Coturnix japonica: one gene and its partners. The protein of the gene in region 1 purifies or fractionates together with the protein of each later gene. This does not show direct contact. Links are inferred from orthologs where the notes say so. Each region holds a gene or a part of one and is shown in the gene's direction. Other genes may lie near its edges. The genes, in order: KDR, SHC1 and CDH5.

Evidence for each region.
Region 2: the proteins of KDR (region 1) and SHC1 purify together in Homo sapiens (affinity purification with western blotting; 3 studies listed by BioGRID and IntAct, with this or other methods). This does not show direct contact. The link is inferred for Coturnix japonica from reciprocal best matches to the Homo sapiens genes KDR and SHC1.
Region 3: the proteins of KDR (region 1) and CDH5 purify together in Homo sapiens (affinity purification with western blotting; 3 studies listed by BioGRID and IntAct, with this or other methods). This does not show direct contact. The link is inferred for Coturnix japonica from reciprocal best matches to the Homo sapiens genes KDR and CDH5.

What each region holds. Positions count from the first base shown.
Region 1 is NC_029519.1:58,815,564-58,823,664, forward strand, and holds part of KDR (vascular endothelial growth factor receptor 2), read left to right. Parts: coding exon 1-41; intron 42-1,260; coding exon 1,261-1,367; intron 1,368-1,775; coding exon 1,776-1,911; intron 1,912-2,166; coding exon 2,167-2,271; intron 2,272-3,067; coding exon 3,068-3,181; intron 3,182-4,333; coding exon 4,334-4,422; intron 4,423-5,976; coding exon 5,977-6,133; intron 6,134-7,590; coding exon 7,591-7,691; intron 7,692-8,101. UniProt on the Homo sapiens protein: Tyrosine-protein kinase that acts as a cell-surface receptor for VEGFA, VEGFC and VEGFD. Plays an essential role in the regulation of angiogenesis, vascular development, vascular permeability, and embryonic hematopoiesis.
Region 2 is NC_029540.1:1,432,209-1,440,409, forward strand, and holds the start of SHC1 (SHC-transforming protein 1), read left to right. Parts: upstream 1-3,349; 5' UTR 3,350-4,250; coding exon 4,251-4,853; intron 4,854-5,028; coding exon 5,029-5,099; intron 5,100-5,486; coding exon 5,487-5,550; intron 5,551-5,700; coding exon 5,701-5,820; intron 5,821-6,236; coding exon 6,237-6,290; intron 6,291-6,414; coding exon 6,415-6,466; intron 6,467-6,608; coding exon 6,609-6,735; intron 6,736-6,838; coding exon 6,839-7,007; intron 7,008-7,207; coding exon 7,208-7,268; intron 7,269-7,373; coding exon 7,374-7,541; intron 7,542-7,617; coding exon 7,618-7,880; intron 7,881-8,041; coding exon 8,042-8,170; 3' UTR 8,171-8,201. UniProt on the Homo sapiens protein: Signaling adapter that couples activated growth factor receptors to signaling pathways. Participates in a signaling cascade initiated by activated KIT and KITLG/SCF.
Region 3 is NC_029526.1:10,020,205-10,028,305, reverse strand, and holds part of CDH5 (cadherin-5), read left to right. Parts: coding exon 1-83; intron 84-2,361; coding exon 2,362-2,650; intron 2,651-2,740; coding exon 2,741-2,857; intron 2,858-3,794; coding exon 3,795-3,959; intron 3,960-4,365; coding exon 4,366-4,553; intron 4,554-6,219; coding exon 6,220-6,473; intron 6,474-7,557; coding exon 7,558-7,700; intron 7,701-8,101. UniProt on the Homo sapiens protein: Cadherins are calcium-dependent cell adhesion proteins. They preferentially interact with themselves in a homophilic manner in connecting cells; cadherins may thus contribute to the sorting of heterogeneous cell types.

The sequences.
Region 1 (8,101 bases):
TCTTGGATGCAAAAAAGCAGAGGCTTTTTTTTCAGTGCAAGGTCAGTATCTGCTTATTTCCAGTTTGTGCATGAACTTGTTATCATCATCAAAATAGGAAAAAGAGTGAAGTCTTTGTGCACAATGTTGTGACTGTTGTCCCATTTTCTTGATAGAAACAGGTAGTGTTTTGGGGTTTGGAAACTCCAGGCTTTGTTTACCAAGCTCAAAATTGTTTGTGAGACCCATTTCTCATTTGTAGCCCACCAAAATGCAGGGTGCGGTAGGAAATAATTAAACCTAATAAGAGGTTAGACTCCAGTCTGAGTAACTGGAACTGTGATGGACTTTGCATCAAGGGTTAGGATTCCGCAAGTAGAAACCTTCAAGTAAAAAGCTCATTGTGTTTGATACTAGTATATTTGTGAAAAGTAGTTACTGAATAATTCACTGATCTCTGTCTTATAAATGAGGATGATTTTCTATTACGTTAGGGCAATTAAAGTACTATCCTGTATTTTCACAGCTCTCATTAGGATACTAATATGTATTAAGGGCAATAACATTTATGTGGGATGTTATCTGTAGCTGATGTTAATTTCAGCTGAGTTGGTAAATGTAGCTGAGGCATGTCTTAAAGGCCTGTAAAAGTCAGAAATCTGTGTGTTGCATAGTGCTTCTCTTCAAATAATGTATAGTACAGCTCACTGGGATCACGAAATGGAGTGTGCTACTGTGTAGGAAAATGTGTGTGGTACAAAGGGTGACACTCAAGACCATGATGTGCAGAATGGGAACGGAAGAAAAGAGAGCTACTGCTCACATTAGATATTCAAGTATTGTTTTAAGTCCTCATTTCTACATGTTGCTGTAGAACCACATTTTTTATGACCCAGTTGAAGCATGAATAGAGATGTGTGAGAGAGTGCTCTCTGGGTTATTCTCAGCACGTTATTTACTATTTCTTAATACATAATTTTTCATTTGGGGTGCTCTGACACAATCATTTACTTTTAAAATATGAAATTTCACTTTGTATTGGTTGCTAATTATCCAGATTCTGCCCATGGAACAAAACTGATGCTAAGAAATTGTGTGACTGAAATAAGCAAAACATTCTAACATTAAACTCAAGCTTTTTGTTTCATTTTGCTTTCCTTGCTCCATGTTGCACTTTAAAAACAAACCTTCAGAACAAGAACCTCCATTCTGCGATTAAATAAATGAACAAAACCAATACGCTTCCAGCTATCACTCAGATATTCATTTATTTCTTCCCAGGCGCTGAAGAGAAAACAAATCTGGAGCTCATTATCCTTGTTGGCACTGCAGTGATTGCCATGTTCTTCTGGTTGCTTCTTGTAATCATCCTTCGGACCGTTAAGCGGGTAATGAAAAAATTCTTGTACTGTCCTATCAGCACTGGTCTTGCATGACAAATGAAAGCTGACTCGAATCCTATTGTGTTGTTTCTTTCCATTGTTCTTAAATCAACAGACACATATTTTTCTCTCCATGCTGTAACATTCTTGCCTGGAACTGAGGGCACAGAAATTTGGTTTTAATTGAACAGGCCTTCGTGAGAGAAAAAGTTCTTCAGCTGTTTTTGTTTATTTAAAAAAAGAAAAGAAAAAGTGCAAGTAATTACTGATGATCGCACTCCCAGTGACTTTGTGTAGGGGAATGGTAGCCAGGCATTTCTGGGAAATGGCAGAGCACTTCAGAGCGAGAAACTGGCACTTTGCAATATCTCCACCAAAAAACCTATGCATTTACAACTAATACCATTTTTCCAGGCCAATGGAGGTGACATGAAGACTGGGTACTTGTCAATCATCATGGATCCTGATGAAGTCCCCTTAGATGAGCACTGCGAGCGGCTGCCTTATGATGCCAGCAAGTGGGAGTTTCCCAGAGACCGACTGAAGCTAGGTGTGTCTTCCCTGCACAGAGCATTATATGACCCTGCAGCCAGCCTTGCACTAGAAGGGGCTTCAGGGTGGTAATGGGACTGCCCTGATGCACAGCCTGCTGGGAGCGCTCCAAACTCCCACAGGATCTAATACAACCTCTCCCCACTGTCAGTCCTCTGTTAATTTCTCATATAGAAATTCAGTTTGCTGTTTATTCTGTATCTTTTCACCACTGTACCAGGCAAATTAATCAGTCTGTTCTTCTCACTTCAAGGTAAACCTCTTGGGCGTGGAGCTTTTGGCCAAGTCATAGAAGCTGATGCCTTTGGGATTGACAAAACTGCTACCTGCAGAACTGTGGCAGTCAAAATGCTTAAAGGTAAAAAATACAACTAAGACTTCACCTTGAATGCACTATATATGGATATTGCCAATCTTGTGACCAGCAAAGATAAAAATGAACCAAAAACAATCAAAGCACTCATACCAATAGTGTATTAAAATTTATCTTAACAGTTGGTGTAAACACATACCTTTGCCTTATCAGTAATTGGAGTAACACAACTGTGGTTTTATAGCCATTGCTTTTTAGACTTACCCACATTAATAAGATAAATGTTTTCAAGTGTCCATATTTTCTGGATGCAGCCTGACTGGGTGGCTCTCTACAGGCTTTAGACATGTTCCAAAATGACGAGCAGTTATGAGAAGCTGATACAAGAAAATAGGGTTCCCTGCATCCAGGGGCTGTATCCCACCCTCTGCTGTGATGGAGGTGGATGGGAAAGCAGGCAGGTTTCTGACTGTGCAGTATGAGCAGTTGCAGAGCTTCTAGCTGTAGTCAGCTGCATGGGCTGGCTGCTGGGGTCAAATGGCAGAGTAGAAGTTGTTCAAAAGCTCTGTGGGGAAAAAAGGGTATTTGACAATATCGTTGGTGTCTCTGGTCTAATATGCTGCCCTTGGCAAATTTTGCTCAAAAGTAGAGCAAAGCCAACCTTGTAGTGTGTATGGCTAATTTCCATCAGTGTCCTACAGCAGAGCTGATCCAGGATGCAGGATGCCAGCCAACAAGACTTCTCACTAAAGAAGATGGAAAAATAATGGTGGAGAAGGTAGAGAGGAGGAGAACCTTTCTGTCTGTGATGCTCCTGATCTTTATTGTTTTACCTCTGCAGAGGGTGCAACTCACAGTGAGCACAGAGCACTTATGTCCGAGCTGAAGATCCTCATTCACATTGGTCATCATCTCAATGTTGTCAATTTGCTTGGAGCCTGCACAAAGCCAGGAGGTGAGTAACTTCTCAGTTTCTGCCATTTCTACTGCCTTGATTATTGGGTTTCAAAATTAAGGTTAGAAGAAATTGCCCCCCTTTCTTTGTTTGTTTGTTTTTTCAATTCCTGGTAAATGTAGCAGATCCAGAGATGGGATAAGAGCTCAAAGCCCTGTGTAGTATGTACAGCTCCATCTCTTGTTCAATTTTGTGAAGCCTTCAACACTCCTGTTCTCTCACTTCACTTTTCAGTACCTCATATCCACTTTCACAGTGGATGCCTTGCATATAACCGGGTCTGGGTATGAGTCTAGTAGGAGATTTCACAAATTGGTCTTATTCTTGCCACCAGCTACAGTGCAACTGCAAGTTATGGCTTCCCTCCTTGGCTTTGGACAGGGGGTGGGTGTATCTGTGTGTGAGTGGGAGGGGAGGTTGCATTTTGAAGTACAGCTCTGGGTGCATGAACCTACTTGACTTTATAATCTAGGACAGATGTTTCATTTAGCAAATTCAGCACTGAATGCTAATTTGGAAGAAATTCAGTGTGGAGTAAGTCAGTAATAATTTTTCAGGAAAGCTGAACTGTTGATTTACCGTGTGATCAGAATTTAATTTGTAAAGTTCCATGAAAAAAGTGCAGTAGTTGAAGGAAACATAATCCATAAATATTTCTTTATTTGATTATTCCGCAACAAAATTGATATGTGCAATATTTGGAACTTAGGGTGGAAATCTGTCATTGTAATAAATGCTTATAGGAGCACAAAATACCGCATTTTGATTGTAGATTAAAGCATCTGTATTTGAAACTGAGTTCCTGATTTAAGTTGTTAGGGCTTAAACTACCCAGACATTTATAGAATCCTAGAATCACAGAATCATAGAATGGTTTGGGTTGGAAGGGACCTTTAAGGTCATCTAGTTCCAGCCCCCCTACCTATAGAGGCAGTGACACCTCCCACTAGGTCATGTATATACATCCACCTTATCTTGCAGCATGATCTGTGGTTAGAAAAACAGCATTTCAAAAACCATTTTACTACTTTCTCAGAGTATTTGAAGGTACTAGTAATAAAAAGCTTCAATCAAAAGCAGGGCAATTATTAATCTTCCACTGGACAAAAGAGGAGAAGATCACACTAAATAATTGCTTTGTATGTTATGCAGGCCCACTCATGGTGATTGTGGAATACTGCAAGTTTGGAAATCTCTCGGCATATCTACGGAGCAAGAGGAGTGAATTTATCCCATACAAGGTGCAGTATAGTGTTTGATTTGGTGTTTAATTTCCACACACAATTTGTCTGTTTCTTAGCGAGAATGCCGTGGCAGTTCTTGAGGATACTGGCTATTCATTGCTTCTCATGGGAATGAGAGATGACAAAGACATCAGAGGTCATCTGGTTTTTCCCCTGGCCCCTGAAATGTTGCTATTTTGTTATTGTTAGCTTAAAATGTGCAAAGGAACTGGGCTTCCAGTATTTCCCTTGGCAGATTGTTCTACACTTGGCTGTATCTGTCAGGAAGTTTTTTTCTGATTATCAGCCTGAATTTTTTCCTTTCTTAGTTAGGCTCCAGACCACCTTAAATAACTGCACTCCCTGCTTAGTGTATATATCCATCATATCCATACATATCTTTTATTGTGTAATTATCCTTTCCACTTTCCTCTTGCCTCATTGCTGAACCAGACTACCCACATTTTGTGCTGTTAATCGTGTTGTATAAATGATGCATCCCATGAATTTTTTGCTGAGTTTTTCACCTTCCAAATCATTTACAAAGAAGAGCTCTCATCACAACACTTCATATTTGCATCCTGCTTTAAAGAAGGGGGAGGATGGAGGTTGGCATTTCCGAGGTCGTTTCTGTACACCTCTGCAAGGAGGTCTGATTTCTGGGAAGGGATGCAGCATTCATCCACTCCGAGGGTCAGATGCCAGCTGAAGAGCATGGCTGTAGGTGCCCAATTCTGGAAACATGCCTGAGACTCTACCCTTTTTTGCCCACAGCCAAGAGAAAGGCCGCTCAGTGCTCTGCAGCGCTGATAGATCTGTTCTTCAGTCTTCTTGCAGTTGCTGTGTTCAGATCAGAGCTTCTTTAATTTGTTTGTCAGTTCTCCAGAGCGTTATTTTTCTTCATCCTTGGAGTCATTGTTTACTATTTCATATTGGCAAAGGCAGTTCGCTGCATCCTTTTGCGAGGTAAAAAAGATAAACATCTAAGGGAACTCGAGGAAAGAGGCAAGGTTTCACAAGAGTGATGATCCTTGCTCACCAAAATAATAGGGATGGGAATCAGCAACAGGAAAATACAGCACTGCCATGGGAGCAAAGTAACCAGACTGAACCAGACTGAGAAAATGGAACAGTAGTGGAGCAAGTCTGCAGGTCTGGGATCTTATCCAGGGTAATTTGGTGGCTCTCTGGTAGAAGGTGATCAATCAGATTTTGAGGGCAGCTAGGGTTTTGGCACAGGTGTAGAAGTTTAGTCAAATGGTTTTTGCAGCAACAGAAATTAATGCAATAGTGATGCAGTAGGAGATTCAGCAGCACATTTGCTTTGTGATTGGAGGGGACAGGGACTTGGTAGGAGGCTGTGAAAGCCAGATTCCTGATACTTGTCCAAATAGGTTTCTTCTAAACAGTGTTGAGCTGGCAGTGAGGGGCAGCTGGGAGACCATGGGAGCAGGCTGTGTGGTGCTGTGAGGGGGCTCATGATGTGGGCTATAGAGAACTTTGTTGCCTCTCTTGGAGAATCTTTCTACAATTTCTGTTTCTGATTTCTCCCACTTTCTCTGTCCTTTTCAGACGAAAAGTGCCAGGTTTCGGCAAGGTAAGGAGAACTACACTGGGGACATCTCCACAGACCTGAAGCAACGGTTGGACAGCATCACAAGCAGCCAGAGCTCCACAAGTTCTGGGTTTGTGGAAGAGCGGTCCCTGAGCGACGTGGAAGAGGAGGATGGTAGGATATGTTTTCTCCTGGTTTTGGAAGAGGCTGATGAGGGGCATCAGGGAAGGGGTGTTTTCCAAATCTCCCTCAAAGCTGTGTGCAAAATATTTCTTGGATGACAAAAATTTGTTGAGCTGTGGAGCATGGCAGTTCAACATTCCAGAACCCTCAGCCCATTCCCATTCCAGGTTAGAAGGGATGAATTTTTTAGTGCACTGCATTCTGGAGATCTGCCTATTTAGCATCCCAGTGTCTTCAGGAAAAATCAGAGGACACAACTTCCAAAGGCAGAGCAAAGAGGATGCACCAGAAAGCTAAATGAATTTCCTCAATGTTTACCCAGAAGTTAAATATCATGAAAAACCATCTGCTTTGCTGCTTATTCTCGGAGAAGTTGGTTTGCCTTCCCTGTGTGCAGGTGGTCCACCAGGAACAGGAAACCTGAATTTTCCGCTCATTCAAAGCCTCCCTTGGTTATACATACCCTCTTCAACAGTTCCACATTTGCCATCTTCTCTTTTGGCAGCAGTAGTGCAGAGTGCTCAGTGCTGCCCAAGTGTTTCAGGGAGCGCTCACTTCAGAAAGTAGTGGGATCAGACTACTAAAGGGGGAAGCCATAGCTCAACTCTCCATGTCTTGACTGATACTTGAAAATCATGCAATGCAAAGAAAAATATCAGTATATTAATAGTGAGATTGTTTTTGCTGTTAAATTTGATCTTAATAAGTAATGTCAGGCCATCTTCATTATGCACTTCTACACCACTATGGTCCTTTGCAGACATCTCTGGAGTGAACACTGAGTCTTTGAGCTGAAATGTTGTAGAAGTGTCTAGGCCTAAAGTAGGCCTTGAGATGAGGGGTTTAGTCAACGGAGTTGTAGTTTGTGGCAGATTTCTTCTAAAAATCTAGAGCTCTGTGAGGAACTTGGAATACTTCTATCAGCAGGAACTAAGTGTTGAGGTATCTTCATTGGATACTTAAGTATGTTATTCCTCAGGGTTACTAGAAGATGAGGTTAGGTTTATTCTACCCAAAATTAGCAGTGTTTTTGGCCAAACTTGAGTCTTTCTCCCTTTGGCATATTGCTTCCCTATAAGGACTAGGTGGGGCCTTCTCATCAGTTTCCAAAGTCATCTGCTGAAACCACAGCAAGCCTTTCCTGTCCTAGGAGCTTGTGAGCTAGGGTCTTTGGTTGTTTTTCTTTTGTGATTGTTTCACAGATCTTTCCACTGGTGAGAACTCTGCAAGTAAGCAAGGAGGCCTGGGGCAAAACTCATCATCTGAAAGTTTAATTTTCACAGGTCTAGTTTGGTTTCTAGTGCTGATTATACAGCCAAGAAAGAAGGGCTTGATTTGCTTTTCCAGTTTACAGTGACATGAGGTTAAGATGAATGTTTACCTAAGAAGCAGTTATGGGTAAATTCAGTGACAAAGGGCATTCCTGACTGTTGTCTGATGCTTTGCAGCTGGTTCTGAAGACCTTTGCAAGAACCCATTGACCATGGAGGACCTCATCTGTTATAGCTTCCAGGTGGCAAGAGGAATGGAGTTCTTGGCTTCACGCAAAGTAAGGAACTTCTCAGGAAGAATGGCATGTTATTTATTTGACTGTAGGAAATAGTGCTGTAGGTCTATAGAAGGAAACAGTGTGTTCATCTTTGGACTGGCAGTCATCCGCAACATTTTCTTTTTGCCCTAAGAGATATCCAAATCATAAATATTACAAACTGAAACAACCCATATGTTTATTGACACCAGTGTTAGTGACCTGTGTAAGGTTTGTGGGTCACTGATTCATAGAAGAATGATTAAGTAGTTGGTGGAAAGGAGCTGACATATGAGGATGACTGAAGGAATTAAGGACAAATCCCTGGAAAACGGCACTAAGCTAGAGTAAAAGATCTTGCTTTGAGGAAATTGTCTGTGACTTGTGCATTGGGATTGGAAAGACAGTGCTAGGAGAGAGGATGCTCATCT
Region 2 (8,201 bases), on another chromosome or scaffold:
TGCTGCCACTTCCTATCAGAGCAAAGAGTTGGGGATAAGCAGCTTTGCAACCACACTGCGACCCTTTGGGGTAGGGAGAACCTAAAGCAGCACCCTTGGGCATCAGGGGCTGCAACTGGGTGCTGTGGAGGCCATGCTGAGGTCAGGTTATGGCCCTGCTGGTGCTGCAGCCTCACCAGGAGGGCCCTGTATTACCTGGCTATGCAATGCAATGCCACTCACTTATGGCTGTTTTATGGCTGTGTACAATGAGCACAGCATTGTGGCCGTTCAAACCCATCCCCTTCCCCTCCTGCTGGCTTTTAGCACAGTGCTGTCCTCTAACCTCAGCCCCAGAGTCCAAAGGGCCTCGTCATTTCTGCACTTCCTCTGCAGTCAGTGACCTGCTGCTGTTGCTCATTGCCTGGCCCTGCCCAGGATGGGGCTGCGGCTGCCAAACAGCCCCTCTTATCTCACTGCCCCCTGGGCTAATCTCATTAGCGCCCGCCTGGGCTCCGGCGTTGGCTTTGCAGGCCCCAGATAAGGACTTATGATTGCTGCAAGGAAGTAAATCGTGTTTGTTGGCCTGATCTGCTTGACTGACCCGGCCCCGAGCGGCTCCATGGTGAGGGTGGGAGCGGCGCAGTGTTGGCTGGGGAGGGCAGGGGTTCTCATTGTGCTCCTGCTTTGCTGGCTGTGTTTTCCTTTCACCGCTGCCCTTCTCTCAGAGCTTCCTGCCCCTCCTGGCTCTGCTCACGTCTGCCCTTCCGTGGCCCCTTTTCCACCTCTCCTTCCTTAACACCAGGATCCGTTTCACACGCTCCTGCGGCCACATCCTGGCTCCTCCCTGGGGACTTTGTGTGTCCTTTATGGCAGTAGGTGCCAGCCTTGGGGGGGGGGGTGGTGGTGTGGGCAGGAGCAGAGTGCTCCTCTATGTCTGAGCACCTCTTCTCTCTCCTTTCTTGCCCTCTATTTTTGGGTCCTGACATCTACAGGGCACTGGTGCTTATTTCAGGTCACAGAGTGACTGTAATCGAGGTCCTTTTGCTTCAGGGTACAGCCAACAGGTGGTTGCCGACACCATTTGCCTGCAGGCAAGATCTGAGCCCTGACTCCAGCTTATCCCCGTGCTCTCAGCATCCCAACACCATCCTTCCCAGCACAGGGATGTTAAGAAGGAGCTATGCCCTGGTCTCTTTGCCCCTATCTACCTGCATTCAGTGAGAAGCCCTGCTCTGTAGGGCTGGCTAACTCACTGTTTGTCCCTGAACCGCAGGTTGGGCTGCCAGACCAGAAGGGCTGAGTGTTTGTTCCCTGCCCTCCACCGGCGATGGAGTACGTGGTAAGGCCGGCCAGCGCTCGGGACTTCGGTGGAAGGGTTAGTTGGCTTCGGTGGCGGATCCTGCCTCCCCCCTTCCCCCTTCACCACCAGGGCCAGCCTCAATTCCAGGCCTCCTCTGCTGGTTTTCCCCTGCCCCCATTCCAAGGAGGCTGCTGGGACGTTCAGAGAGGTTGCAGACAGGAAAGCATCGCCGCCATGTGACGTTGTTGTAGTGGTGTTGAAGGGAAAATCCAGCTCTTGGCTGGCTCTCAGCCTTTCTCTTTGCTCTCCATGCCGTGCTGCAGGAGGACAGGGCACGGGACAGGCTCCATCTCCCTATCTTAGGACATAGGGGTCTCCTGCCCTCTGTATGCAGCCAAGCTGTGTACGTGTGGCAGCCCCCGTTGCCTGCGTGCTCCTCGCCGCGATTACTTGCCAAACCACTCGCGTGTTCCAGCTCTCTGACTCAGCTCCTGCTTTGTGTTTCCTGGGAGGATGGCAGGGCTGCAAGCAGAGCCTGGGGGGAAACATAGGATCCTCCAAAGCAAGGCGGTGGGCACAGCTCTGTTTGCTGTGCTATATCAACCCCTCTCTGTTCCTCATCCCTTTGGCTGTGTACGAGGTCACCCACAAGCACACGGCGTCCCTGTGTCCTGCATATAAGCAGGATCTGGTTGAGCCTCAGCTTCCAGGCATGAGGAGCTGCTCTGCTGCAGGGCTGGGAGTGCAGTGCCAGCCTGTCTGGTGAGACAAGGGGCTGCTGGGTGCTGCTTAGGGGTTGCAGGACCCGAATCTATGGGGCTGAGCACGTCTTGCTTTGCCTTTGGTGCTCTGTGACCCCTGGGTAAGGGGCTGTGATTATTGGGGTGGGCTCTGGAGCTGTGGCAGTTGAATCTGGTTGTGCTGACGTGCCTCATTCCCAGCCAGTGCTGTTGGGGGGGGGATGTGTGTGAGCTGTCTGGCTTCAGCTTTCAATGCAGGAGGTTGTGATAAAATCAAGAGTGATTCTGTTTTGTAGAAACAGAGCTCTGTGAGAAACGGGCACAGCTCGGGGCACTGTGTGTGCCGGGAATTGCTGCTCCCTGCTTCCCATCTGGGCTGGGGTCCAAAAGACCCCTTGCCCCTTTATCTTAGGTAACAGACAGCCCCTGTTTGCAGATGCCTGCAAGCCTTTATGCAGGGGATGCTGTGCCAGGTGGGACCCCCAGCCCCATATGTACAAGCCAATTAGGTCCTATGGGGGCAAACACGCTGCCTTGAGCCTCCCCAACGCCGCCCAGCAGAGCAGGGCTGGCGGGTCTCTGCTTCCTGGCTCCCCGGCCCCGGGTTTCCTGCCTTTCTTCAGATCCATCTTACTGCTGGCCATGGGAAGGTCATGGCACTGAGCTGCCGTGGGGCCCTCGGGGGGTAACAGAGCACATCGTGGGACTGTTCCTGCAGCACCAAGGTGGGGGTTGATGGGGCTGTGGGACCCGTTGGCATCGGAGCCCCCACATCGTGTGGGATCCCAGCTATTTCCAGCCTATTCCCTGCCTCCATTTCCCTGTCTCTGTGGCTTCATGCCAACGTTTGGGAAGCGGGGCAGGAGGTTCCACTGTTGGGGCTGAGCTGGATGAGCCCTTCCCTTGGGCTGGATTTGCCTTGAGTTCAGCTCGGTGTAGGGTTCTATGGGGGTGCCCTGGCCTGCAGGTGGGTCAGAGGGGCCCAGAGACCCCCTTTGTTGGGGGGGAGGGGGGTAGGAGAAGCATGGAACAGCTTGGGTTAGAAGGGGCCTTAAAGCTTATTCCAAAGGGCTGAAGGGGGATCTCTGAGGTCCCCATTGCTGGTTTGCATCAGGTGGGAAGGAACGAGGAGGGGGCAGACTTGCCCCATTGCCCCCCATTAGAAAACTGGGGTTTCTCCTAGCTTTGGAAATGGGTGAGATTTACCCTGGCGCCATCAACACGCTCTGGCTTTTCCCCAGCTCCCTCTAGCTCCGCCCGTGACCTTGATTTTTCTGCTCCAGATCCTCGCCGGGTCCCCACCCCTCCCTCTGAGCCCCTCCTGCGTTGCTTCCCCATCCCCTCACAGCACAGCAGATCCTTCTCCTCCGCCTGTGAGTCAGCACAGCCCTTCCGATCAGCGGCAGCCCCTTCTTCCCCTCCGGGAGGAGCCGGGATGCGGGAAGCAACAACCATCATCGGCTCCCGGCGGCTCCACAGCTGAGCCCGGCTTCTCCCTCTTTACACCCACCTGTATCCTCCTTTTGGCCGCTCTCCTCCTCCTGTACCATCCTGGAGCTGTGCTGGACATCCCTGCATCCCTCTGGCATCGCGTTCCCCCTTTGGCTTCAGGCGTCGCTCCCCACCCCATCGATCCCGGAGAGCCAACAGCATCTTCTCGCTGTCGGCACGTGGCTCGCGTAGCACCGGCTGCTACAGAAGGACCTTGTTCGCTTCTGGACCGTGCTCTGAGCAAGGCTGGGCAGGGCTCGGCCGTGCTCTGTGGCTGCCTTGTCTCAGGGCTTTAAATATTCATGCTTTTCATTTCCTCTGAGCTGCTGGCAACCGCTTGCGAGGAGGAGAGAGCAGGGGCTGGAGAGCAAGCCGGAGGGGCAGCGGTTTGGGACTCGTTTATGGGGCAAAAGGGGCCATGCTGAGCCCCTGCTGAAGACAATGGGATTCGTCGTGGGTGCAGAGAGGGGCAGTGGGGCTTGAGGACCTCCCAGCTGTGTGCTGGGTGTGCTGAGACCCCCCCATCACCGGGTGCACCGGGAGCGGGGCTTGCTGCCCATCTATCCGGATCGCTGACGCTGGTTGCTATCGATCTGCTGGGACTGCGTGGAGCTGGTTCTCCTCGTGAGCCATGAGGGGCTGGAGGGTGCCTGGCATGGAGTTCAACCTTAACCTGTACATGGGGGAGGACTCCAGGAGGCTGTAGGCGCTCTATGGGGTTGCTGTGAGGGGTGGGCATGCTCCAGCCCTTCTCTCCTCTTTCCACAATGGATCTCCTGCAGAAGAGCAAATACAGCCACCTGCGGAACGAGTCTGTCTCCTCCCTGGAGGAGGCTGTGGGAGCCTTGGGGACCCCAGTGTCCCCTGTGGAATCCCTTGAAGGCATTCGGTCACTGCCTGGCTCGCTGTCATCCTCCTCCCTCAGCCCCATGCTGCCTCTCGGGGAGCTCTCATCCGAATCTGAGGACAGCCCCACCACCCTCTGCTCTTTCTTCCCTAAAATGGCCAACCTGAAGCTCTCCAACCCCGCCAACCTGCTCAGCCTACGGGGCTCATCGACCGGCAGCCTTAAAGATACTGGGAGCTCAGGGCAACCCGTCCTAACCGGGACGCTCACACCGACACCAGGGGGAACAGCCAGCACTAACTCAGTAGGACCTGTCACTGTCTGTTCCCAGGATATGAACAAGCTGAGCTGTGCGAAGAGGACGCGGGTGGAAGGCGGCCAGCTGGGTGGTGATGAATGGACCCGCCACGGCAGCTTTGTCAATAAGCCCACGCGGGGCTGGCTGCACCCAGATGATAAAGTCATGGGGCCTGGGGTCTCCTACCATGTCAGGGTGAGTGCTGGGGTGTCTCTATGGGGTGGGAGTGGGCTTTGGGGGGGGGCTCGTTGTGGGTGGAGGTGAACAGCACAGTGTGGGGACCTGTCCCCTCTTTGCTTATGGGCTGCCATGGGGAGGTGGGGGAGTCAAAGCGAGCCAAGCCCGATGCTGACCCTGCTCTCCTCCATAGTACATGGGCTGCGTAGAAGTCCTTCAGTCCATGAGGGCTTTGGATTTCAACACAAGGACTCAGGTCACCAGGTGAGCCCTGGGGTTGTGTTGGGGGCTTGGGGCTGCCCAGGGTGGGTGTGGAAGTGGAACCAGGCTGTCTGCAGCCATGGAGGAAACTGCCAGGAGATCGATGAGCCTGTCAATGAGCTCGGTCAGGCAGGAAGCACTCCTGCAGCTGCATCAAATATTAACAGCTCGCTCTTCCCCTGTCCCTGCCGGGTCTGGGAATCAGCCTGCACTGCCTGAGGGCTTCCCTTTTGTTCCATGCTTAACCCTGTCCCTTCTGCACTGCTCCTCGTGTCCTCTGCCCAGCGGTGCCCCATAAATATGGCATTGATAGCAGAGCTTTGTCCCTGTGCTGATGCAGGAGGGGACAACAGGGACCCCCAGGCTGACGCTTTGCTTTGCTCCATGCAGGGAGGCCATTGGCCTGGTGTGTGAGGCTGTACCTGGTGCCAAGGGAGCAGTGAGGAGGAGGAAGGTGAGGCTGGACTTGGGAAGCTGCTGATGGGAGCAATTTGAGGGCTGGATCTCAACCCAGCCAGCAGTGCTTAGGGGCTCTGATTGCCCCCATGGCTCAGCATGGAGTGGTGGTGGTGATGAGTTGCCTAATGCTGCTGTTCTCCCCCAGCCCTGTGGCCGCTCTCTGAACTCCATCCTGGGCAAGAGCAACCTGAAGTTCGCCGGCATGCCCATCACCCTGACCATCTCCACCAGCAGCCTCAACCTCATGGCCTCTGACTGTAAGCAGGTGAGAGAGGGAAGCTGCTGTGGGCTGCACTGCTGCCTTCAAACAAGCAGAGATCCATGCATCCCCTTCAGGCCCTGCTGGGGGTGTTCCCATTCTCCCTGGGGATGTGTGGTTTATCTGTGTTTCCTGCTGAGTGCTCATCTCCTGGTCCAGCATGTTCCACCCCATCCATTCCTGGTAGCAAAGGGATCTGAGCAATGCCCTGAATGCCTTGTGGGATCTGTGCTCTGGACCTTGAGACCCAAGTCCCTCAGCCTTGGATGTCTTTTAGTCTCAGTAGCTCTGCTGGTGTCTCAGCCCTTCCTCTGGTTGCCTATGGCTCATAACCAGGGCTCCTGAAGTTTGTTATCCCCACACTGGGCCAGTGCTAGGGTGGGCACTGAGGAGCTGCACCTAACAGTGCTTCTACCTTTCAGATCATTGCCAACCATCACATGCAGTCCATCTCCTTCGCTTCTGGGGGTGACCCGGTGAGTTACAGAGGTTCCCCAACCAGCACATCCTACCCTGTGCTGGGGATCAGAGCCTCTCCTGCCTTCTCCCCTAAGTCTTGGGCACTGAGCAGCCCTGGCTCATCACCACTCTCTCCCACAGGACACAGCTGAGTACGTCGCCTACGTTGCCAAAGACCCCGTCAACCAGAGAGGTGAGGCTGGAATTGCAAGAGCCCCATTTTGGGTGCAGCTCAGAGAGGGATTGGGTCCCTGCAGGGAATCTCTGGGGTGCACAGGGTGGGATCAGGGGGTGTAGGATTTAATCCTGCTCTCATCTCGCTGTTCCCTTCCCAGCCTGCCATATCCTGGAGTGCCCTGAGGGCTTGGCCCAGGATGTGATCAGCACAATTGGACAAGCCTTTGAGCTGCGCTTCAAGCAGTACCTAAAGAACCCCCCGAAGCTGGTGACACCCCACGACAGGTAAGAGAAGGGAGAGATGGGGGTCCATGAGGTCTATTGGTGCTGGGAGGGGATGCAGGCCTGGCTGCTGTCAGCTGTTCAGCTGTGTGTTGTTCCCTTCCAGGATGGCAGGGTTTGATGGTTCAGCCTGGGATGAGGAAGAGGAGGAGCCTGCCCCAGATCACCAGTACTACAACGACTTCCCTGGCAAGGAGCCTCCTATAGGGGGGGTCGTGGACATGCGGCTGCGGGATGGAGCTGCGCAGACCCCCAATCACCTGGGGGCCACACTGGTAAGGCGCTGAGCGTGTCTGCAAGGGGCTGCTGGGGAGGTTCTGCTATATAGGGGAGATGCAAGGACCCCAATGGGGCTGTGGGCTGCACAAAATCCACACCACGCTTCTGTCCAGCACCTCTGGCAGTCCATACTGGGGTTTGGGGAGGGGTAAGAGTACAGCAAGGTCTTTTGGTCTCACCATGTGCCTCTCTACAGCCTGTTGGCCAGACGTCTGGTGGGGAATTTGACCCCAGGAAGCAGCACGGTCCCGCTCAAGGTAATGTGATGGATGTGGCTGGTCCCCATAGGCTTTCCTGGTCCCAAAGTGCTCCAGCAATAAGTGCTGGTGCCGGAGCGCTGCTGACCACAGCGCTTTGTGCAGCAGGAAGAGAGAAATACCCACCTGCAGCGGGTGCGTCCGGCCGTACGGACCTATTTGATGACCCATCTTATGTGAACGTGCAGAACGTGGACAAGACACGCCAAGCAGCAGCTGCAGGCAGCCCTGCAACAGCCAACGGCAGCGCCCAGCGAGACCTCTTCGACATGAGTGAGTGGGGACAGCAGCTGCAGGCTGTGCACTCTGTGCTGGGTGTGTGATGGAGCCCCTTCCTTTTCTCCTGCAGAGCCATTTGAAGATGCCCTTCGTGCCCCCCAGTCTGTGCCCGTGACCGTTCCTCCTGCCCAAGTTGTGGCCTCCATGGAGGAGCAGCTGAGGAGGGAACCGTGGTATCACAGGAAGATGAACCGCAAAGAGGCTGAGAAACTGCTGAAGGTGAATGGAGATTTCCTGGTGAGGGACAGCATCACCACCCCGGGGCAGTACGTGCTGACCGGCCTGCAGGGTGGGCAGCCCAAGCACCTGCTGCTCGTCGACCCCGAAGGAGTGGTGAGTCTCTATAACCCCAAAGCTTGGGGGGCCCTACATCTCCCCACAACCCCACCTTGGGGACACCTCCGGGCTGGCTTAGGGGATGGAGGAGGCCTGGTAAAGCATAGAGGGGACTCCTGGGTGTATCTGCAGCCTCTTGAGTTCCCTATTCCCTGCAGGTCCGGACAAAAGATCATCGTTTTGAGAGCGTCAGCCACCTCATCAGCTACCATATGGACAATCACCTGCCCATCATCTCAGCTGGCAGCGAGATGTGCCTGCAGCAGCCAGTGGAAAGGAGACTGTGAGCTCCAGGGGGGCCTCGGTGCGCACCCCCCC
Region 3 (8,101 bases), on another chromosome or scaffold:
AACGACTTAAGAGAGACTGGATATGGAACCGAATGCATATCAGGGAAGAGATTGATTCACCATTACCCCATCATGTTGGCAAGGTAAACAGCAGCCTCTTAGCAGAGAATGACTGGAAATGCAGAGAACAAATGAGTGTCCTGAGAAGTATTACTTCTTTGCAGCCTAGCTGAATTAACGGGGAATAAACGGCAAATAGAAATGGGACTGATGTAGTAACATTACAATCCTAAAATGAGGGCAGAGTGAATCAAGAGCAGCATCAAAGGAATTATAATTCTTCTAAAGAATACAGATAAATTTTAGAGAATGGCAAGCATGGAGCATCTGCAGTGAAGAAACAACTGCACTGCATGCAGGTGCAGAGTAAGGAAGAAGGTCTGGCAGCTGATGAATATCAGTGTTTTTCTGGTTGCTCTTTCAAAAACCTGGGAGATCAGCTAATAAAAACATACGTATTAAAGACCACATAGCTTACATCCCTCAGCACAGGCACAAAAATAAAGTGCACTTTAGGAGTACTGTTACACAATCAAAAATTTGTTTCACAAAGTGAAGGAAAACAGTTTTTGAAAGTAATAACAAGCATTGACCTGACCACAAACTCATTTTCTTCAGGGCAATGCTCATAAAATCCTGTGATTAACTGCACATCACCCAGATAAAGTTCTCCCAGTCTAGTCTTTCAAATTGAACTACTTTGACACTTCTCGGATAAATGCAGTTCTACATTTTCCTTCCATGTGCAACAATCAGTGTCTGTCAAGGCTGTTATGGTAAAGTGAAACAGACCTTTCTGGATCAGTGCTGCTCATTGGCAGAAAGCACGAGAGAGAGAAAAGAGGCCACCGGGTACTCAGCTACCACAGGATATCTCTGTTTCATTTCAGACCAATTCAGCAGCAGATTGAGAGAGTTTTTATTCCTGGTGCTGTCCTAAATAAGAGTAATTCACTTTGTACTGTGCTCTGTGGTCTTTCAAAAGCGGAATGTGTCTGATTACTTTTGCAGTGACTGTGTACAGTGCATTGCATTTGCAGGATTGAACACTTGATAAATCCTTTTAAAAGGCCACAGCATCAGCATGGCCAAACCGAGCGACAGATGCAGGAATATGCTGATACATCTGGATTTTATCTTTGATGACCTTGGAGGCTTCAATTTGCATGTCCATCCTTAGATTTAGCAAAGGCAACCTTGGAAGCTGTACCTTTCATACCAAATAAGTAAATAGAAATTAAGAAAGAAGACAAAGGCTGTACTATCTTTGAGACAAGGGTGAGATTCTTTCTCCTGTTACAACTCCAGAGTCACGAGCTGTTGTTCAGCAGCACCAGCAGTTAGAAGCATGATTAAATGTGTGGAATGAGGAAAGAGAATTTTAATAGCACATTTCAAAATAAAAAACATAAATGAAAGAATGTTCAACAGTAAATGACAACTACGGGATAAATCAAATCCTGAATACCAAACAGCTGCAATTTATGATAATGTCAGTAACAAAAGACTAGAAAATCTTTGTCAAACCCAACAATTATTGATAAATAGCTTGCTGAAACAAGAATGCTGATATAGTGCACAGAAAATTGTGTTCTAAACTTTATAGCAGCGTTCTTAGAGGAGCGTAGATAGGAAAGAATCATCAGATTATGTCCAGATTAAAAGAAATAATAATGTACAAAACCACCTGGGACTGGATTAAATTACACATAAAAACAGACTCATTTTACCTTTCACCCCACCCTTTTTCATACAATACAATCTTAAATTTGAAACTCTGTGGAGTGAAAACTTAATTTCACTGCCATAACCATAAAGACCAACTATGAAGAAATGACACATGACTAAACACAAGAAAGCTGTCAGCCATGGCAGGAATTCTGCTAAATGGCAAACAATGGAGAAAAATGCTAAATAATGTTTGTCAGTAGCTGTGAATAAGGATTTGTTTCTGTCATTCTGTGAAATCCAAGCAAAATTCCACTTAGAATTCTGCTACATTCCAAAGATAATTTGCCAACAAGTGTAGCTCCATGTAGTGGTACCTACATTTCTGACACAATGAGGCTGACAGTTTTTATCTGTAACTGCATGAACAATTTATATCTTTAGGAAATATAAGGCATAACCTTAAAATAAAACATTCCTGATATATAAGCAAACAGGTTTCAGTCTGGATGCACGTTTTATCCTATTCTGCATTGCTGGTTTGTCCAGTAATATGCCAGCTGTCATCAAAATTCCCAATGGTTTCAAACTGAGTCTGAATAAGAGGTCATGTTTATGTGTATCTTCTGGTAGAAACTGTTTTATATTCCAAAGCCACAGCTCACTTTTATCTCTTTGAAATATACTTTCTAGCTCACGTCGAGTGCAGGGAACAAGAATGCTATGTATATTATTGAAGGTGAATCTGCCAACACCATCTTTAAAGTGCAAGGGTTTGACGGCGACATATATGCTTTTGAGAGGCTGGACAGAGAAAAGAAAGCAGAGTATGAGCTGACAGCACACATTATTGACAGAAGAAACAACCGATCACTGGAACCGCCATCTAAATTTATTATCAAGGTTTATGATATTAATGACAATGCTCCCATTTTTGTACAAAAGGTATTCAATGGATCTGTCCCAGAAATGTCACGATTAGGTAAGGTTCTTCCATTACTCGTTTTCAATTCTTTCCTTGGCTAAAAAGCAGAATTTATACTAAATGTGGTGTTCAATAATCCTTTTCTAGGAACCGCAGTTACCAAAGTGACAGCTGAAGATGCTGATGACCCAACGGTTGCAGGTCATGCCACAGTTACCTACCAAATCATTAAAGGAAATGAATATTTCACAGTTGATGATTCTGGTAGGTCAGATATGCAAGTGTCAAATGTTGACCTTATGCTTTCAGGAAAATACAATTTTAAGCCATCTTCTTTCAGGACAAGGGAGATAATTACGCCAAGAATTTAGTTTCAACTGTAATTTGGAAAGATTTTACACTCACACTAACACAGTGTCACTGTCTACATCTAAAAATGAACCAATAAAGGCATGATTGTAGGTACCAAGAGGTAAATGACATGATCAGGTCAGGTGATCCCTACTGATTAAGAGATCAACTAGGAGCCAATATAACTCTATGTTTTCAGTTCAGCACACATATCATTCCTTTGACCAAACTGATAAAAGAGGAATAAATTAAGAAATAGCACTCCTAAAGAATAGCTGACAAAACCTCTTAAAAAGCAAATGGCAGATGGTAATTACAACACCAAAAAATGCCCTACAGCTTTGCAGACTTGGCACAGGAGGGATGGGTTACCCACTCCTTAAGTTAGCAGAAACCTGGAGCAAGTCAGTATATACAAACAATGCATCTTATTAGGCTGATTTTGAAAGTTTGTTTCTGGTTTCTAATCAGTAACTCAAACCTTTGCTTTCCTAAACTTTTTTTGTTTAAAGTTTGTCCAGATAAAGAAATAAACTCATTATCTCTCGTAAGCTGGTTCTCTGGAGCAACTAAAGCAGATAAGGAGGTGATCAGACATGCACTCCAGGCGCTGTAGTGACCAAGCTTAGACATTATCAGCTGGTTTCTGAGCAGCAAAGACAAGTTTAAAGAAATTTACTGTACAAAATGTCCTGAATATTTCATCATTTCTAATAGTTTTAGCCTTAGAAAAATATAACCATAAAACTGCTACTTAAAGGCAAATGTGTCATAAGGTAAAAACTCGCTCTCAAAATTAAGACATGAAAGTGTTACAAAATCTAATCATATTCAATATTATTTTTTAAAGGTGTGATTTCCACAGCCAGAGCTGATTTGGACAGAGAGACTCAATCAACATATGAAATTATTGTTAAAGCAAAAGATGCTCTAGGGCTTACCGGGGAGTCAAGCACAGCTACAGTCGTTATCAGGTTAACAGATATCAATGACAACTTCCCAGTATTCAAACGCCGTAAGTATACTGTCAGGGAAGCATCATTTAGAAACCATGAGCTGACATGAATGAAAGAAATTTACATTAGGCATCACAATTCAATTTTCCTTTAAAGTGAACAAAAGATTCTTACATATTCAGACGCCTTTCTGCTTTTCAGCACTGGCTTCATTTCCTGGTAGGAGTATATCTAGAGCAGAAAGTAAAAATCAGTATTAACTTTGGTAACTTTATAAAGAAACCTGACAATTTCAAGAAGTAATTAAAAAGAAACATTTAAGTACTGTCTGTAGAGACTAATAACACTGAATTCTCAATCATTCTCTGTGTCTATCTATGAACCAAGAAAAAACTTTAAGTTCTAACTTGTTCCATGTGCACCGTCATTATGACCCCATTGTTGCTTTGTGTTTTTTTTAAACAGCATCATTTCACTTTAAAGTTCCTGAAAACGTTTCAGTAGGAGGAGAAGTCGGCCGAGTCGAAGTTGAAGATATTGATGAACCACAACACAGACATACAAAATACATTTTTGTCAGAGGAGATTACAGGGACACCTTCGAAATTGTAGCAAATCCATTCACCAATGAAGGAATCATCAGACCAAAGAAGGTACTTTTCCCAGAAACAAAGAAAAATATGATTTTGTTTTTCCACATTTAACAAATGTTTGATTCGGTGTGGGGCCAGCAGCAGGAAAAAATGGAAATGCATGAAAGCCACAGCACAAAAGGTATTCAACCTGAACACCTCATTCTGTAAGCCCTGAGAGGAGAGCAGGCGATTTACCAGCCTATTTCACCTGCCAAAACTGGGAAAATCTGAGATTGCTGCAGAGTGCAAAGGGGATATTTGGATGCTCCTAACAGTCTGTGAATGCAGCAGTTGAGTTGACCAAGTCAAAGAATCAAATCTTTCTATTCTGCAGCCAAAGGGAAACCAGAGCAGGAATGTAAATGCGTACACCTGACCCCCCCTCTAGAAGTGCTCTTTGCCATCTAGCATTGCTCCCTCCTGAGCCACATCCTGCTTCCCTGTCTCACCTCTGAGCACTGAAAGCTTCCCAACTACTGCCTGGTAACTCTTACTTAAAAGGACGCAGGCTCTCCCAAACCTCTAATATGGCTTGCTCTTTGTTTTTTAATTCTCAAACCTACTTAATTTGCACCAAGAAACATTCCTGCACTATACAGGGCACTTCCAAGCCTAAATTTCATTGATTTCATTGATATATGGTGAAAAAAAAAAAAAAAAAAGATGTAAGACTATAAATTACTGTGAGTAATACTCAGATTGACATGAGTTTGTGGCTTTTTTTTTAACTTCCAAGCATCTCTATGTAGCGATCAGTATTAGAGATACTACTGAGATGGGAAAATTCCATATAGAAAAAAGCAACAAATATCCTGAGACTGGCAAATCCTTCAGCAGTGGCCACACTGTGCCAGCAGCTTTCCTTCACCAAACACATGTCCCCTGTTACCACAGGGCCTGAGACATGTGATGCTATCAGCCTGTGCCAAAGAGCAGCAGCAGCAGCAGAGATCTCACACACACACTGCCAGAGGCAGAGACAGCCCAGCCTTCACCAAGCAGTGGGCAAAATTTGCCCCAGTATCTTGCAGCACGCTGTCAGGCACGCATGTACATCAGAGTTTTAAACATACAGTCAGGTGAGATACAGTTTCAACTGATAAAAAAGCACTGTCATTTCCACGTGCAATGTCTATTCAAACAAAAACACAGTCACCATGATTAACTACAGCATATTTCACAGTGTGTTTATAATCTTGGGTGACAGGGAACAGGGATCCAAGCTTTGAAACACATGATAGCAGGGGCATTTCTTACCACTCTAGCTCTTGACCTTCCTTCCATTGTGGGATTCCATCTGTAATCAGTTATGGTGAAAGTAAGGAAGCAAATATCATTTATCATCAGATTCACCAGCTATGGAGTCTGCCCTGAATGAAAGGACAGGAGAATCTAGTACTTGACCCAGGGAAATAGGAACTAAACAATTTTGGTATCTACAGAATCATAGAACAAAATTACTCCTTGCAGAACTTTGAATGCTGAATGAATCTGTTCAAAACCTGAGGTTGCTCCAGCCAGTCCATTTATGAAAGGGAAGTTCAGCTGGATATGCATTCCCCAGAGTCTTGTCAAAGTGCGGTTCACTAGTATCTCCCAACAACAGCACAGACCTTTACTTTGCAGAGTTAGCTAATTTTGCCTAGCCATCACCAAAAAATATCTATGTTTCTCTTTCTTCTAGCCCCTGGACTTCGAGAAAGTAGCAGAGTACAGGTTTGACATCGAAGCAACAGATCAGAACGTTAACACTGCCTACTACAAACCTGGTGGCTCCAAGAGCATTTCAACAATTACCATTGAAGTTACAGATGTAGATGAGCCTCCTGTCTTCGCCAAACATCAGTATGAATTTAAAGTACGGGAGAATGATCCTGAAATAAAAACACTCGGCTCCGTTCAGGCGTATGACCCCGACGCAGCTAAACGGGAAATCAGGTAACGCAACACCAGCCTTAGTGGTTCTATTTTTAAGTAGAGAATTTGCTAATGATTCCAAGAATTTGATGGAGTATTGAGACACTGACCTGATTTTTCAGACATTTGCAAGCAAAAGAAAAAATCCAATCTGACTTTTCAGCCACTGCAACTATGGATATATACAACAACCAAGAAACACGAACATGTTACTTATACACATGAATTCATGAATAAAACATTTCTACATTTAAATACATAATCTTGGATATTTTCCCACGGTTACAATAATCTACTGTTTATTGCAACAACTTTCTTGAGTATGTGCTTTGTAAGGAAAAGAAAATAGACTTCTTAAAACAGTGAAAGCCCATAATCTGGGAACCTTGCAGAGGGATATGTTATGCTCTCACAGCTTGCATAAATTTAGGGAAATGTTCTGAGGCTCCATAGAATCATAGAATCACAAGGTTGGAAAGGACCTACAAGCTCATGTAGTCCAACCATCCTTACATTAGTATTGCTACCACAAGCTGCTAAACCACATCTCATAGCTTCTCATCCAGACACCTCTCGAACACTGCCAGGAACGGGAACTCCACCACCTCCCTGGGCAGCCATTCCAGTGCCTGGCCGTTCTCTGAGAGAAAAACTGTTTCCTTATCTCTGATCTAAACCTCTTCGGGTACAACTTGCAGCCATTTCCTTGGGTCCTGTTTGTTGCCTGGGAGAAGAGGCCAAGCCTGTCCTCATCACAACCTCCCTTCAGGACGTTGTAGAGTGAAATGAGGTCTCCCCCGAACCTCCTCTTCTCCAGACCAAACAATCCCAGCTCATTCAGCCGCTCTTGATAAGACCTGTGCTCCAGACCCTTCACCAGTTTCATCACCCTTCTCTGGACACGTTCCAGAGCCTCAATGTCTTTCTCAAAATAAAGGGCCCAAAACTGAACACAGTACTCAAGGTGCAGCCTCACCAGTATCCCTGGTCTTAACATAAATGTAATTTTTTATAAAACTACTCTCTGGCCTTTTCCTATGAAGAACTGAAGTGAAACACAATATTGTAACTCCTGTATTGATGCACCTCTTTTTAAATAACACAGATTTGTTCGACGAAGAGCTAGTCCTAATGGAGACTATGTTAGAGTATCTGCTTCTGGAATTATTCAACTTCCTAAGCCTCTAGATAGAGAATTCAGTTCTTCATACAACATCACTGTGGCAGCCCAGGAAGTCCTGGAGGATGGTAAGTGCTACTATTTCCTTACTTGAAAGAAATCAGTGGGTGCCTTTACAGCTGGACTGTGCCTTATCAGGAAGGAAAGCCACAACCTGACAGCTTCCTTCCACTAAGCTACAAATGAAATGGATGCTTGCAGGGTTTGCACAGCAATCTTCCAAATCAAATGAGTACCTACAAATAGATCAAACACTTTTAAGACTTGGCCCCTTTCTATCACAGAAATACTTTCAGCTTGTCTAAAGGAATGACAGAGTCATGAGGAGAGGAAGAAGCTTGGGGAACAGACAGAAAACTCTATTTGCAACAAAAGTATCCGAGCCAGTTTCCCCATTCACACAGAGCTACAGAACGTGCCCACCAAGCTCCCCAAATATTTATACATGGCTCCACTGGGTTTAGGAAGA